Drosophila melanogaster: one gene and its partners. The protein of the gene in region 3 interacts with the protein of the main gene of each other region in a pairwise test. Each region holds a gene or a part of one and is shown on either strand. Other genes may lie near its edges. The genes, in order: CG6497, e(r) and Rcd4.

Region 1 (3,927 bases), on a different chromosome or scaffold from region 3:
GACACGCCACATTAACCGAAATTAGGCTGTCACTTTTTGGCCATTCGCGCATTAGCTGCCAAAAGTGAAGTTAAAAGTGCGTGTTTTTTCCGCTTTTCATTATCAAGGCTTTTGTTGTCTACTTTTTGGCGCGCAGCGAAGCATGCGCTGCTTTGAAGTCATTGGCAAGGATATGAGTTGTATTTTGTGAGCAACAGCAGCAGCTGCGGAAATCGAGTTGAAGCAAATGAAAGGATGTGAATTTTAAATGGTTAACTGCGAGACTTGAATGGCACGACAACAATCTGTACAATAACGTATTACAATCAAAAAGATAATTAACAATTTCGTTTACAAATTAATAGGTCTCGACGCTTTTTTTAACTGACATAAAAATTCGAACATTTAGATCTTGTAGATTAGTTGTAAAGTATGTAACACTATAAAGTCAGAATCACTGACAATGTCCGCTTGACTGTCCGTTTGACTGTCCGTATGAACGACGAGATATCGGGTACTATTAGATCAAGAACTACAACTACTTAAGATACTGTTAAACAGATTAACAATTTATGCATCTTTATTTCAGATTGTTGTCATGCCCGCACGTACGACCACAAACCAAAAAAGTCAATTATATAATTTTGTTGAGTGTTTGAATTTATGAATTTAATTTATTATTGCCCAATTTTATTGATGCTAATTTGACGCTCCTCCTAAAAGGTTCTTCCCCTCTTTTTCTAGATTAAATCACTAATGACTGCGGACTCTAGTCCACTTCATGCCATCCGAAAATGTAATTTAGTTAGATATCATCCCATAAGAAAATTTATTTATATTTCCTAGTCGCCCTTGTTGCTTTTCGTACCCACGATGCATTCCAAGAATCCTTTATCCCCTGCAACGCTTTTCTTTCACTGCTATCCCACTTTCAGTTAAATTTACACAACCTTTTAGCTAATTTTAAAGAAAAGTCGACACACAAAGGCCTGAAGGACACAGAAATCGGGCAAAACAAAAAGACGCTTTGCAAAATATTTTGCCGTAGACAACATTAGATATTGTTTTGAGCTGTGCAGACATGGGCTGGCATTTTAGTTTAGTCTCTGTTCCTCGTTGGAGTTTTGTTTCTAGTTCTGGTCTGGTTCTGCAACTGCTTCTGCTTCTGTTTCTGCTGCTGTTTCTGCTGCTGTTTCTTTTGCCATTATTGTTATTGGGGGTTGGGGACGGCTGACAGTCTCCGACTGGCCTGTTATTGTTGGCCCGGCGCACAATGCGGCCATAAAAAGCTGCCAAGCCAAACAATTGAAACAATAAAACGGCTTTAAGAAGGGGCCCTCGGAGCTGCGGCTCTGGCAGAGTAGATAAAGGCAATTAGTGTTGGACTGCAGTTTACTCAAAGTTTCAATCGGAACCGCCGAGTCGTCTAGCTGGTTGGGAACAGGATCTCCTCCAGCTTGGCGTTGAACAGAGACTTGACCGTCTCGTCGGTGGTGTCGATGATCAGCTTGTAGTAGCCCGATCGCCGAAGCAGTCGTTCTTCGTCATCAGCCACCCCGTAGATGTCCTCGATGGGCATCAGGATCTCGCTCTCATTCGGCAGGATTAGCTTGCGTGCATCCTTGCGGAACACGGCCACCGCCTTTACCATGTTCGTGTGTGCCCTCACATAGTGCTGGAAGGTGAGGCTCTTACGCTTCGCTGAGATCTTCGACTGTATGCGATCGAGACGGGCTATCAGGCGGAGCAGTATGAACCGGGCATAGCGATCCTTGATCTCCAGCAAGGACATCTCACTGCCATTGTCGAGGGCTGGGCGCAGATAGACGCTCAGGATGATGAATACGAAAATGGCGTTGATCGCGAAGATCAAGAGCAGTATAGCCAGCTGGATGCAGTCGATGTCCTGCGAGAAGACCTCCGCCAAACGCTTCCAGTACATGAGGTCGTAGTGGTGCACGCTCCATTGGTAGTGCAAGTAGGCTGTTACTGCCACGCCCAGTCCGCTGTAGAGCGCTATGTACGGGTAGTTCGCGTGGAAGAAGTCATTAAACTGCACTCGTAGCTTCTGCCACAGCTCCATTATGTCCTGTGTCCTTTGGTTCCTTCTTTTTTCGGTGTATGGTTCCTGGCTGGTAGGGGATGAGTCCGACTGGGTTTGAATTTTCGTTTCGGTTAATTTTGGTACTTATGTTCCGAAAGGTTGATCCATACAATTAGTCTACTTAGTTCGGAGTAATGCAAAATGAAAGACGATTTTAACAAGCCTCTTATGTGGCATTTGTCTGTGATTATACTTGATTAGGTTAAGTTCTTAATATTTTGTAATTTTTTTAATAAATATAAAACAAACTCACGCATTGAATTGGCCATATGAACATTTATAATCTCTATATCTCTCGTTCTCTGATTATCTCTTTATTTCTATTCAAAAATGAAACTATTAATTCTGCAGTATTATTATGGTCTTTAAATTGCTCTGATTTGAATGAGCTATTGAATTGGATTGAAATTGAGTTTTACTCAAAAGTATAAGAGTTTTTTTTTAGCCCGTTCACCCTGCAACCAAATGTTGTGGATGCCAAACAAGTTGCGAGCTCGACGAGGCTGGGTCGAACTTGTTTGGCCTGAAGGGATTGAGCTTTATTGGTGTTGTCTGTAAAGGTTTGAGCAGTTTTGAACAGCACTCATGTGGTAAAGGTCTGTTCCCCTGAAACATGCAACCAATTTCAGTGGCCACAACTCGCATGGAACCGCCCACGACTGCAACTCGAACTGTCTTAAAGTCTTTGGGTTGCATTGTATTCTTCATTTTTTTTTGCGTGTGCTGCAGGCAACTAAAATACGTAAAATACGTCCAGGTCCTGTTGGGCGACAACATTTCGCTATCTGGACTAAGTTTTGCCAGTAACCCGCTTGCGCCCCTCCGCTTTTCCTATCAACCCTAACCGATTTGAGACGTTGATAAGGCAAGCGAAAAAAGCATAGCATACTTCTGAGCGCAATGCAATTTTCCGTTTTCATGTTCTTGGCTCTACTTTTTCGACGTTTTATGCTGCTCTTTCCCTTTTTTCGGGTTCGTCCTTTTGTGCTCTGCACTTATTATTGTCTCTTTTCGGTTGACTTTTTGCGCCGAGGCCAAAGTGCATGCAAAACTGCATTTTGTAGACAAGCCGAAAACCGAAAACTGCCAGCCAAAACGGAAATATTCAAAAATGGTTGGCGGAGTGGGCGGTAGTGGGCGGTAGAGTTCAGTGGGTGGGGACGGCCTATCTGCCAACTCTCGGCCTCTTCCTCCTCCTTCCTCCGCGTAAGTGTGTCTGTGTCTGTGTATGTGTGTGTGTGCGCGCTAATAAAAACGTAAAATTTAATGGTTACGGAAGGCACTAAAAAACAGGCTCACCGACAGCACCCAAGTAGTTGTTGCTGCTTCTGCTAGGTTCGCACTTGCAAAAATCGAGTGCTTTCTTATTAAAACAATTAATATTTGACAGTGAGATATTTTCATAGCTTTCACCTTTTATACAAATTATAGGCACATAATGCACTCTTTCAACTACATTTCATAAGTAAAACTCAAATTAAAGGCACGAAAAGAAAACATTAAATTTGGTGTGCCTTATAAATTGTGTTATTATATATTTCATTAATTTTTGTTAATTAATTAATTATGTTAATTTTTTTTTATTAAAAGAAATGAGGTATATTTAGAATATATTTTTATTTACTTCATAGTTGCCTTAGGTAGATACAAGCTGATTGGAAATTGTCTCTTTCAAGACCATAACTTAGGGTCTCAAGACCGAAAAAAACATTCTACTTTGCTTCAATACGCATCAATCAACGGAAGCTCTATCCGATTTTTCCGAGTGCATCTGCAGTTGCCGCTGCACTCGTAGTGGTGCAGGCAGTGGTCTTCGGCTGTGTGAGTAGTGGCACTGGCGATAA
Region 2 (4,430 bases), on a different chromosome or scaffold from region 3:
CAATGCAGTGTTTAAAACCAGTTTTGAAAAATATTCTAAAAAAAAAAACTATGCACCATATTCGACGCAGCTGTAGCGCTATTGCATACCCTGTAAAAAGCGCGGAGTTGCGTGGCAAGCAAACTACTTTAAATAGGAGAAATTCTTTTTTTTTTTTTTTTGAAAATATATATACATATTTTTGTAATAAACTGTACAGTTTGCTGTAGCAAATGCTTTTTTCACAAACAAATATATTTGTCTGAATAATGAGAAATCTAGTGATCATTAATATTCAGCAAATATAATGGGTAAACTATAAACACTATGTTTATTGCTAGTTAACGCTAGTAAGCAGCATCCACAAGTCGACACTAAATGTGCATATATACATATATATATATATATATATATATATTTAACAAAATGCTGTCGCGGAGCTAATTAAATATCGCACGCCAAGTTCAATGCAGTGCGGCCAAGCGATTCAGCGGCGGTCCAAGTTCGTTATCCGATTGAATATCTGGCGGGGGTACAACCCACAAACCCCTACCCCTCCCCCCTCACCACACACACAACAACCAGCATCTCAAGGTCATTTCGCATCTGCGACCAAAGGTTCTGTTTTGCTTAAAACAAGCCGTTAAAACGCCACAAAGCCCATCGGTGTGCAAAATCAGCGGGCTAAAAGTTGTTGTTTAACTAAGTTCAAATGATAAAGGGGGGGGGGGGGAATCAGTAGTTTACAAATATGTTTATATATGCTCAGTGTGTCCTGATGTGTTAGTTTATTATTCGATAGATTGCAAAGACTTAAGCTAGCACACACGGCAAAACATACAAAAAAAAAATGCACACTTGCAAATTTGCCATTCGGTTTTACAAACAAACAAACATACAGTTCGCTATCGATAAGAACAACCGTCACCTGTGGCTGCCGCACAAAAAAACATTGAAACACACAAAAACACACACAGTTGTCAGTTGGGTGTATATACAGTATATATATATATATACGCCTATATATATATTTATATATATATATATATATTAGTACGTTTAAAGTAAGTTTTCCATTTCTAAGTTATACAGTTTATCGTTCTCTTTGTGTTCCTTTTCCTTTTTTGCATTGCGTTATGTTGCAAAAAAAAGTTGCTGTCATTTGGCGATCTAGTCGGTAGCAGCAAGTCTCCAATGGAATCGATGCCCCACCACTCCATCATCATCTTCTTCTTCTTCCTCATCTTGTTGGTGTTATTGGTGTTATGGTGTTGTGGCCGTTGCGGATGCTGTTCCAAGCGCTGTTGCATGTATCCTCGTATTGTTGTTGTTGTTGTAGTTGCTATTGCACGCATTGTTGCATACATCAACGTGTTGTTGTCGTTAGTGTTGCACGCATTGATGCATGCATCATCGTGTTATTTGGTTTTATATGTATGTATCTTGTCGCATCGCCGTCCCTTTAGGTATTGGAACTAAATGCCGCCTGACGGAGCAGCACATAGATCTTCTCCTTGATCCAATCCTTATTGTAGGGCGCATAGGTATTGGTGCTCTTCTGGTAAACCATGCAGCTAATGTCCACCATTGTGTCGATGAAATCGAATAGCTGGCTAATGTCATACGTAATGGTCGGAGTGTTTGGATTGCGGCGCTTCAGGTGCTCCTCGTAGATCTTGCACACGCCCTCCATGCACTCGTTGACGCTCTCGTAGTCACAGTAAGTGCGGGTCTCCGGACGAGCACCCGGCTGTACCAATAGGATGGTGTGCGACATGGTGATCTGCAAGGCAAAAATGGAACATTAATGTTATTGGCGGTGATCTATGTACTCAAGCGATATGTATGTATGTATGTTACTAGTGTGCGTTTCATTACATTACGTTTCATCTTCATCACTTACATCCTTTTTTTTAACAAGCGTTTTTTCTATAGCAAAGTCCGAAAGATTCCGAGACTCTCGAAGTTGAAGTTTACTTCGCCAGCTCTGCAAAAATTGTGCATAAATATTTATTAGAAGCATAGAGAGCTGTCAGCAAAAAAAAAAAAGACAAAAAAAAAAGGAAAAGAACAAAAACGAAAGAGATGGAAGAGATATGCTGTTGCCGCATGCAACGCATCGCCCCATCTCGCTCGCGCTCTCGCCGCAACACCAATACACGCGCACCACACATGCTGGCCAGCAGAACGCTCTTTGATTTTCCAATTTGCAACTGGGAAATAGACTAAGATGGCACTTCCAGCATGGAAAACGAGTAATTTGTGTGTGAAGCGAATGTTGGCAATGGAGAAATGCGTACATTTGTACAAGATAATGCACGCTTATGCCGCTTCACTAAAACACAAACATTCGGAAGCGCGAACAGACACGCACACACATGTACAAGGAGTAACGGCCGCCGCGTGTGTGTAACTAACTGTATGCAATCACTTGTTTTTCTTCCTTTTCACCGATTTTTCTCGAATTTTAAATAATTCCCATGTCTCCCGTTTAGTGTTCAACTTACCCGTTCGAACGCCGGACTATATGGACTATGATAATATGCTGATTCAGTAAAGAGATTCGGTAAAATCAGCGCTTGATTCGTTTTTTTTTATTTTGCCAGTTCTATGGGTTTTGAAGAGGAGGCTGAAGCTAGAGATGAGCGCTTCGCTGCGTGCCTCGCCGTGACAAAATAATCGAAAGATATCGATTAATACTAACATCTTTTATTTGATATACATTGTTTAATAATATTTACCAAATTAAATGACAATTGTGATTTTTTATACTTAATTGTATCAATGTATACTTGCATTTCAATTTGTATATGTATTTGATTCCATATTATGTTCATTCACTTTTTTATTGAAAAGCACACTTTATGTATATTACGCCTTTAGGTATAAAGCATGTTTTTCAATGCATATTTTCATTTCATTTGGCGTAATTCATTCCATATTTAGTCTTCAGATTTTTTAAATAAAATTAACTAAAGCTTTTAACATATACTCATCATAGTAATACATTACAATAACTACGGAAATTATTTATTTATTATTTTTATTTTATATATTTATAAAAAAATTATAATTATAATGTCAAATTAAAGTGGATTGCATTATTTATTTAGGTTCATTTTATTTTGTTATTACATATAAATATTAGGTATTACGTTTATTTAAGTTAGAATAAAATTAACGCCCATCAACAAATTATGGTCATTAAAGTCTTTATGAAGTAAACTTAATGTACAATCATTTTCACTTAAAGTGCATATTAAAAAGCATATTTTTACATTTTTTAGTATTGTATTTAATATAAAGTCAAAAGTTACTTTTAATGAAACAAAACTATCGCCCATCGCCAGCTCCGCAGTCTGGCCACTGTTCTCACTGTTCCCAGTGCTGCCAGACAGCGGCAATCGAAGATCCGAGTGCCCACCAGCTGTTTGATCTCAATTGGACCAATTGGAAGAGCGCGGTGTCGCGGGCAGCGCAGTCGAGCGGCGGCAGAGCGATCGGCAAAGAAATCAACAACAAAAAGCAAAATCTCGTCTCAACATTATTTACGTGCTTTTTGTTTTAGTGAAAAGTGAAGGCGCAGCCGCAGCAGCCCGTGTTTCGCGCGTTCCCATTAATTTGTTGTTATTTTCAATTGTGCAAGTGGCGTTCGTGTCTCTCTTTTTTTTTTTTTGTTTTTTCCTGTGTGTTTGTGTGCGTCCTAATTGAAAGAAAATGAAGTGAAAAGAAGCAAACAAATTGGGAAATAGCAACGTAAACAAATCAAATAATGAATGAAGTAGAAGAGCAGCGAAGTTAAATGAAACCCAGGCAGTAAATTGAAAAGCAAAAAAGCCCTGCGAAAATAAGATGATAAAGGCTGTGAAACGGGGAAACCCGTTAAAGTAGCACCGAAAAGGCAATAGTCAAATAAGAAAACACAAAATCCAACCAACGCGACGCACGCGTGTCCAATTTGTCGCCTCTGCTTCGTCTCTCTGCTTCCTCTTCACTGTTCTGCGCACACCGTTGCACGATCATTCATGTGTGGGTGTTGTATCTGTGTTTCTTGTGCATTCTATTTGATTTGTGTTGTTGCTCATCTCTTATCGCTGAAATCTCGAAATCTCAATGTTCTCGGCGACCAATGGCAAAATCAAGGTAAAAAAAAAAACGTCCACTTAATAGTTTTCTTAACTTACCAAATGGTGTCTTGGCTACAGAGAAACTTATGCTTTGAGTTGAAACTGAAATATGTACAATATTACTGTTTCCGTTAGTTTTATTTTAAAATTGATAAGCCATTCTATATTTCTCCTGACTGCGCATTGTTTAAATATTATACTAATTATCGTATCGTATCAATATCTTATCTGATGTTTGCACGAGATTTGTTGCGGTGTATTTGATTTAATATAAAACTATATCAGTAAATGTTTGATATACGTTAAAATACAACAAATATTGTA
Region 3 (3,300 bases):
TTGAGTGCCCACTGTACTTGCGCCTTCATCGATAAAGCTATCAGTATTATTTTCAAACTAGACGAACGGTCCTACTTTTGAGTTCTCTCCCAATTTGTGACGTGTCTGCGATTAATTTGTTAAAAAGCGCCTTTATCCTTAAATATCCGGACAAATATCACATAAAATAGCAAAATGGTGGAGCTGTCGAGCGTCATTTCCAAGTTCTACAACGACTACGTGCAGAATACGCCCAAGAAACTGAAGCTGGTGGACATCTACCTCGGCTACATTCTGCTCACCGGCATCATCCAGTTTGTTTACTGCTGCCTGGTTGGAACCTTCCCGTTCAACTCCTTCCTATCTGGTTTCATCAGCACCGTCAGCTGTTTCGTCCTGGCAGTGTGCCTACGCCTGCAGGCCAATCCCCAGAACAAGAGCGTGTTTGCCGGCATTTCGCCGGAACGCGGTTTCGCCGACTTCATCTTCGCTCATGTGATCCTTCATCTGGTGGTCATGAACTTCATCGGTTAACAAAGCTACAAACATTCTGATATTCTCGGATATATTTATAAATAAAATGTAACTCTAATTGTATGTTCTCCTATATGCGCCGAAAAAATCGAAGGGTCCTGGTTCCCAATCCAAGTGGAGTACTGGTTCCTTAACAGCCATGATCATGGGATCTACTTTCTCCGCATAGTCGGCTAGCTGGGGCTCGCTTATGGCCTTGCATGATTCCGATTCTTTCGATGTGTGCTTTAAGGCATCCGGTTTTCTATTGTGCGGCACCAGCACAGAATCGTTGACATTGAGAGGCACCAGGACCCCGAATACAACACGATTCGGAGCGAAGTTCATCTTTTTGGTGATCTTTGGGGTAGTTACAGAATATGTTATTATAAAACAGTATACATAATTGAAAACCTTAATTAACCTGTGGGGCGATAAAGTTAGAATCCTTATTAAGGTTCATATCCAGCTTAATGTTGGATATGATATGGGCCTCGTTCTGCTTGCGCACGGTGGTGTTGCATTTGGGCACGGCTAACTTGATCTCCGGGTTTTTCCCGTTGGTCATTGCACCTTCTTTGGCTTTCGGACTGTCCGGCGAACTGTTATCCGCATGAGAACCGTTGCAGGATTCGACGAGCACATTCGGCGGTGCAGACGACAGTTTGGCCACAGAAACGCGTCGCGCTGTGAAATTCCTTTGGTTCGCATGTACTCGGTTCCTACGTTTGTGAGGCATTTTAAGCAGACTCGCAAGAATTATGGTAGTACACTTCAATTCGCCTCTGATATAAAACAGCACGCAACACTGATTTGACCATTTAACAGCACTGATATGTCATCATCTGTAAATTTCGCGTTACTTTCCGAGACCTTTTTCCGATACCCACTGTATTCAACATTCTCACACCGGTTCGGGACTTATACAACACTGACCCATAAGCAGCTGTTTTCTGAGAACCAAATATTTTGATAAATTAATGAAAAATGGCATTATCACGCGCCAAGCCCGACGAACTGCCCAGGGACGCGGTGGTCATAACAGAGGATCAGGCCCTCAAATACCAATGGAAGATTATAACTTCCTGGGACAAAATAGGCGAAGTGTGAGTGCATGAAGCCTTCTAAAGTTGCCGCTTACCTAACAAGCGATCAAAATATTGCCTTGTAGATGGTCGTTGCGCTACACGCCCGGAATTCTGAGTGCTTTGGCTGCGGGAACGGGCGCCTACATAAATAATCATTATCGCACCAAGCTGCGACTTGGAGGACATGGTCGATTGTCCACTTACCTCCCGATTGTCGCCGTTCCCGCCATATTTACCATGCTGGCGCACAAGTTCTTTATTCAGCGGCCCATCCTACTAAATCCGCTGGGCGAGTGCCCGGTGTGCATCCAGATGCGCAGTGCTGCCTTTCAGACAAGTCTGGGCATCGTATATCCCACAATTCTGGCCCCATTCGCCGCATTTCTGTTCGCAACCCGCTGCTACACGTACCGTATTCCCTCGATTACGGAAAATCCCAGAGAAGTGTTTCTGTTGTGGCGGAAATTTACACGCCCCATTGTCCCAGCCTTAGGAACCTTAATCGGCCTGCAGGCCCTGCTAACCATGTTCCTTACTGGCCAGGAGGACAAGCAGAACTTTAAACTTATGTTACGCATGAGGGAGATCGAGCACCAGGTGGAGGAGGAACACTTGCCACAGCGAATGGACTTTTAATTGTTACACATTGTTAACTAGCTCAAATAGAGGCGCATTTAAGAGCTTATTCTAAATGCATTTTTTAAAATTTGTGATTTTTTACATATATCTGGAGGGTTCTAGAGTGCAATTAATGTAAATTAAGCAAGTGGACTTAATTTTAAATATAAAAAAATTATTTTCTTCATTATGCCATCTCTAAATCTATCGATATCTCATCCAGTTTGCCGCATTGTCTATCGAGCCAATCTCACACGTTGCTGCAGTCGGCTGACGAAATTGTTTGCATTTGCATTTACTGTTTGAAACGTGAGTAATACATAACTTGTTTTGGTTAGGTACCAGTGTGGTCTATTTACATATACGAAAAATAAACAAGTAAACGTTTTTTGATTCAATTCGCTTCCAAATTGTATAACTTTGTCACGTACTGTGCAAAGTGCACTTTCACTGCTCCGATTTGTGGCCGTTTTAAGGGGTTAGGGAGCCCCAATTGTCGCGTGGCAACGTTTACACTCACGATTTGTCCTTTGCAGAACCAGCAATATGAAGTTACTCACAGCAAAGGAGGTGCGCAACGCCTATCTGGACTTCTTCAAGGAGCAGAAGCACATCTATGTTCACTCGTCCAGCACGATTCCATTGGACGATCCCACGCTGTTGTTCGCCAACGCCGGCATGAATCAGTTCAAGCCCATTTTTCTGGGCACCGCTGATCCCAACAGCGAAATGTCCAAGTGGGTGCGCGTGGCCAACACGCAGAAGTGCATTCGCGCCGGTGGCAAGCACAACGATCTGGACGACGTGGGCAAGGATGTCTATCATCACACCTTCTTTGAAATGCTGGGAAACTGGTCCTTCGGTGACTACTTTAAGAAGGAGATCTGCTCCTGGGCCTGGGAGTTTCTCACGCAGCGACTCGCCCTACCCAAGGATCGTCTGTATGTGACTTACTTTGGTGGTGACGCGGCCAGCGGTCTGGAGCCCGATCTGGAGTGCAAGCAAATGTGGCTGGACTTGGGCCTGAAACCGGAACACATCCTGCCGGGCAGCATGAAGGACAACTTCTGGGAGATGGGCGAGACTGGGCCCTGCGGACCAT

Evidence for each region.
Region 1: the proteins of Rcd4 (region 3) and CG6497 interact in a two-hybrid assay, tested with the Drosophila melanogaster proteins (one large-scale study listed by BioGRID).
Region 2: the proteins of Rcd4 (region 3) and e(r) interact in a two-hybrid assay, tested with the Drosophila melanogaster proteins (one large-scale study listed by BioGRID).

The regions. Positions count from the first base shown.
Region 1 is NT_037436.4:17,251,762-17,255,688, forward strand, and holds CG6497 (uncharacterized protein), read right to left. Parts: upstream 2,177-3,927; 5' UTR 2,063-2,176; coding exon 1,406-2,062; 3' UTR 616-1,405; downstream 1-615.
Region 2 is NC_004354.4:8,903,623-8,908,052, forward strand, and holds e(r) (enhancer of rudimentary), read right to left. Parts: upstream 2,627-4,430; 5' UTR 2,487-2,626; intron 2,369-2,486; exon of another isoform or gene 2,147-2,368; intron 1,967-2,146; exon of another isoform or gene 1,883-1,966; intron 1,763-1,882; 5' UTR 1,757-1,762; coding exon 1,442-1,756; 3' UTR 522-1,441; downstream 1-521.
Region 3 is NT_033779.5:8,380,887-8,384,186, reverse strand, and holds Rcd4 (reduction in Cnn dots 4), read right to left. Parts: upstream 1,327-3,300; 5' UTR 1,232-1,326; coding exon 917-1,231; intron 853-916; coding exon 568-852; 3' UTR 530-567; downstream 1-529. Other genes in the region: Dad1 (defender against apoptotic cell death 1), read left to right, coding at 175-513; CG13392 (uncharacterized protein), read left to right, coding at 1,480-1,598, 1,664-2,216; AlaRS (Alanyl-tRNA synthetase), read left to right, coding at 2,745-3,300. UniProt on the Drosophila melanogaster protein: Participates in the later stages of centriole assembly through the interaction with Ana3 leading to the centriole to centrosome conversion in somatic cells.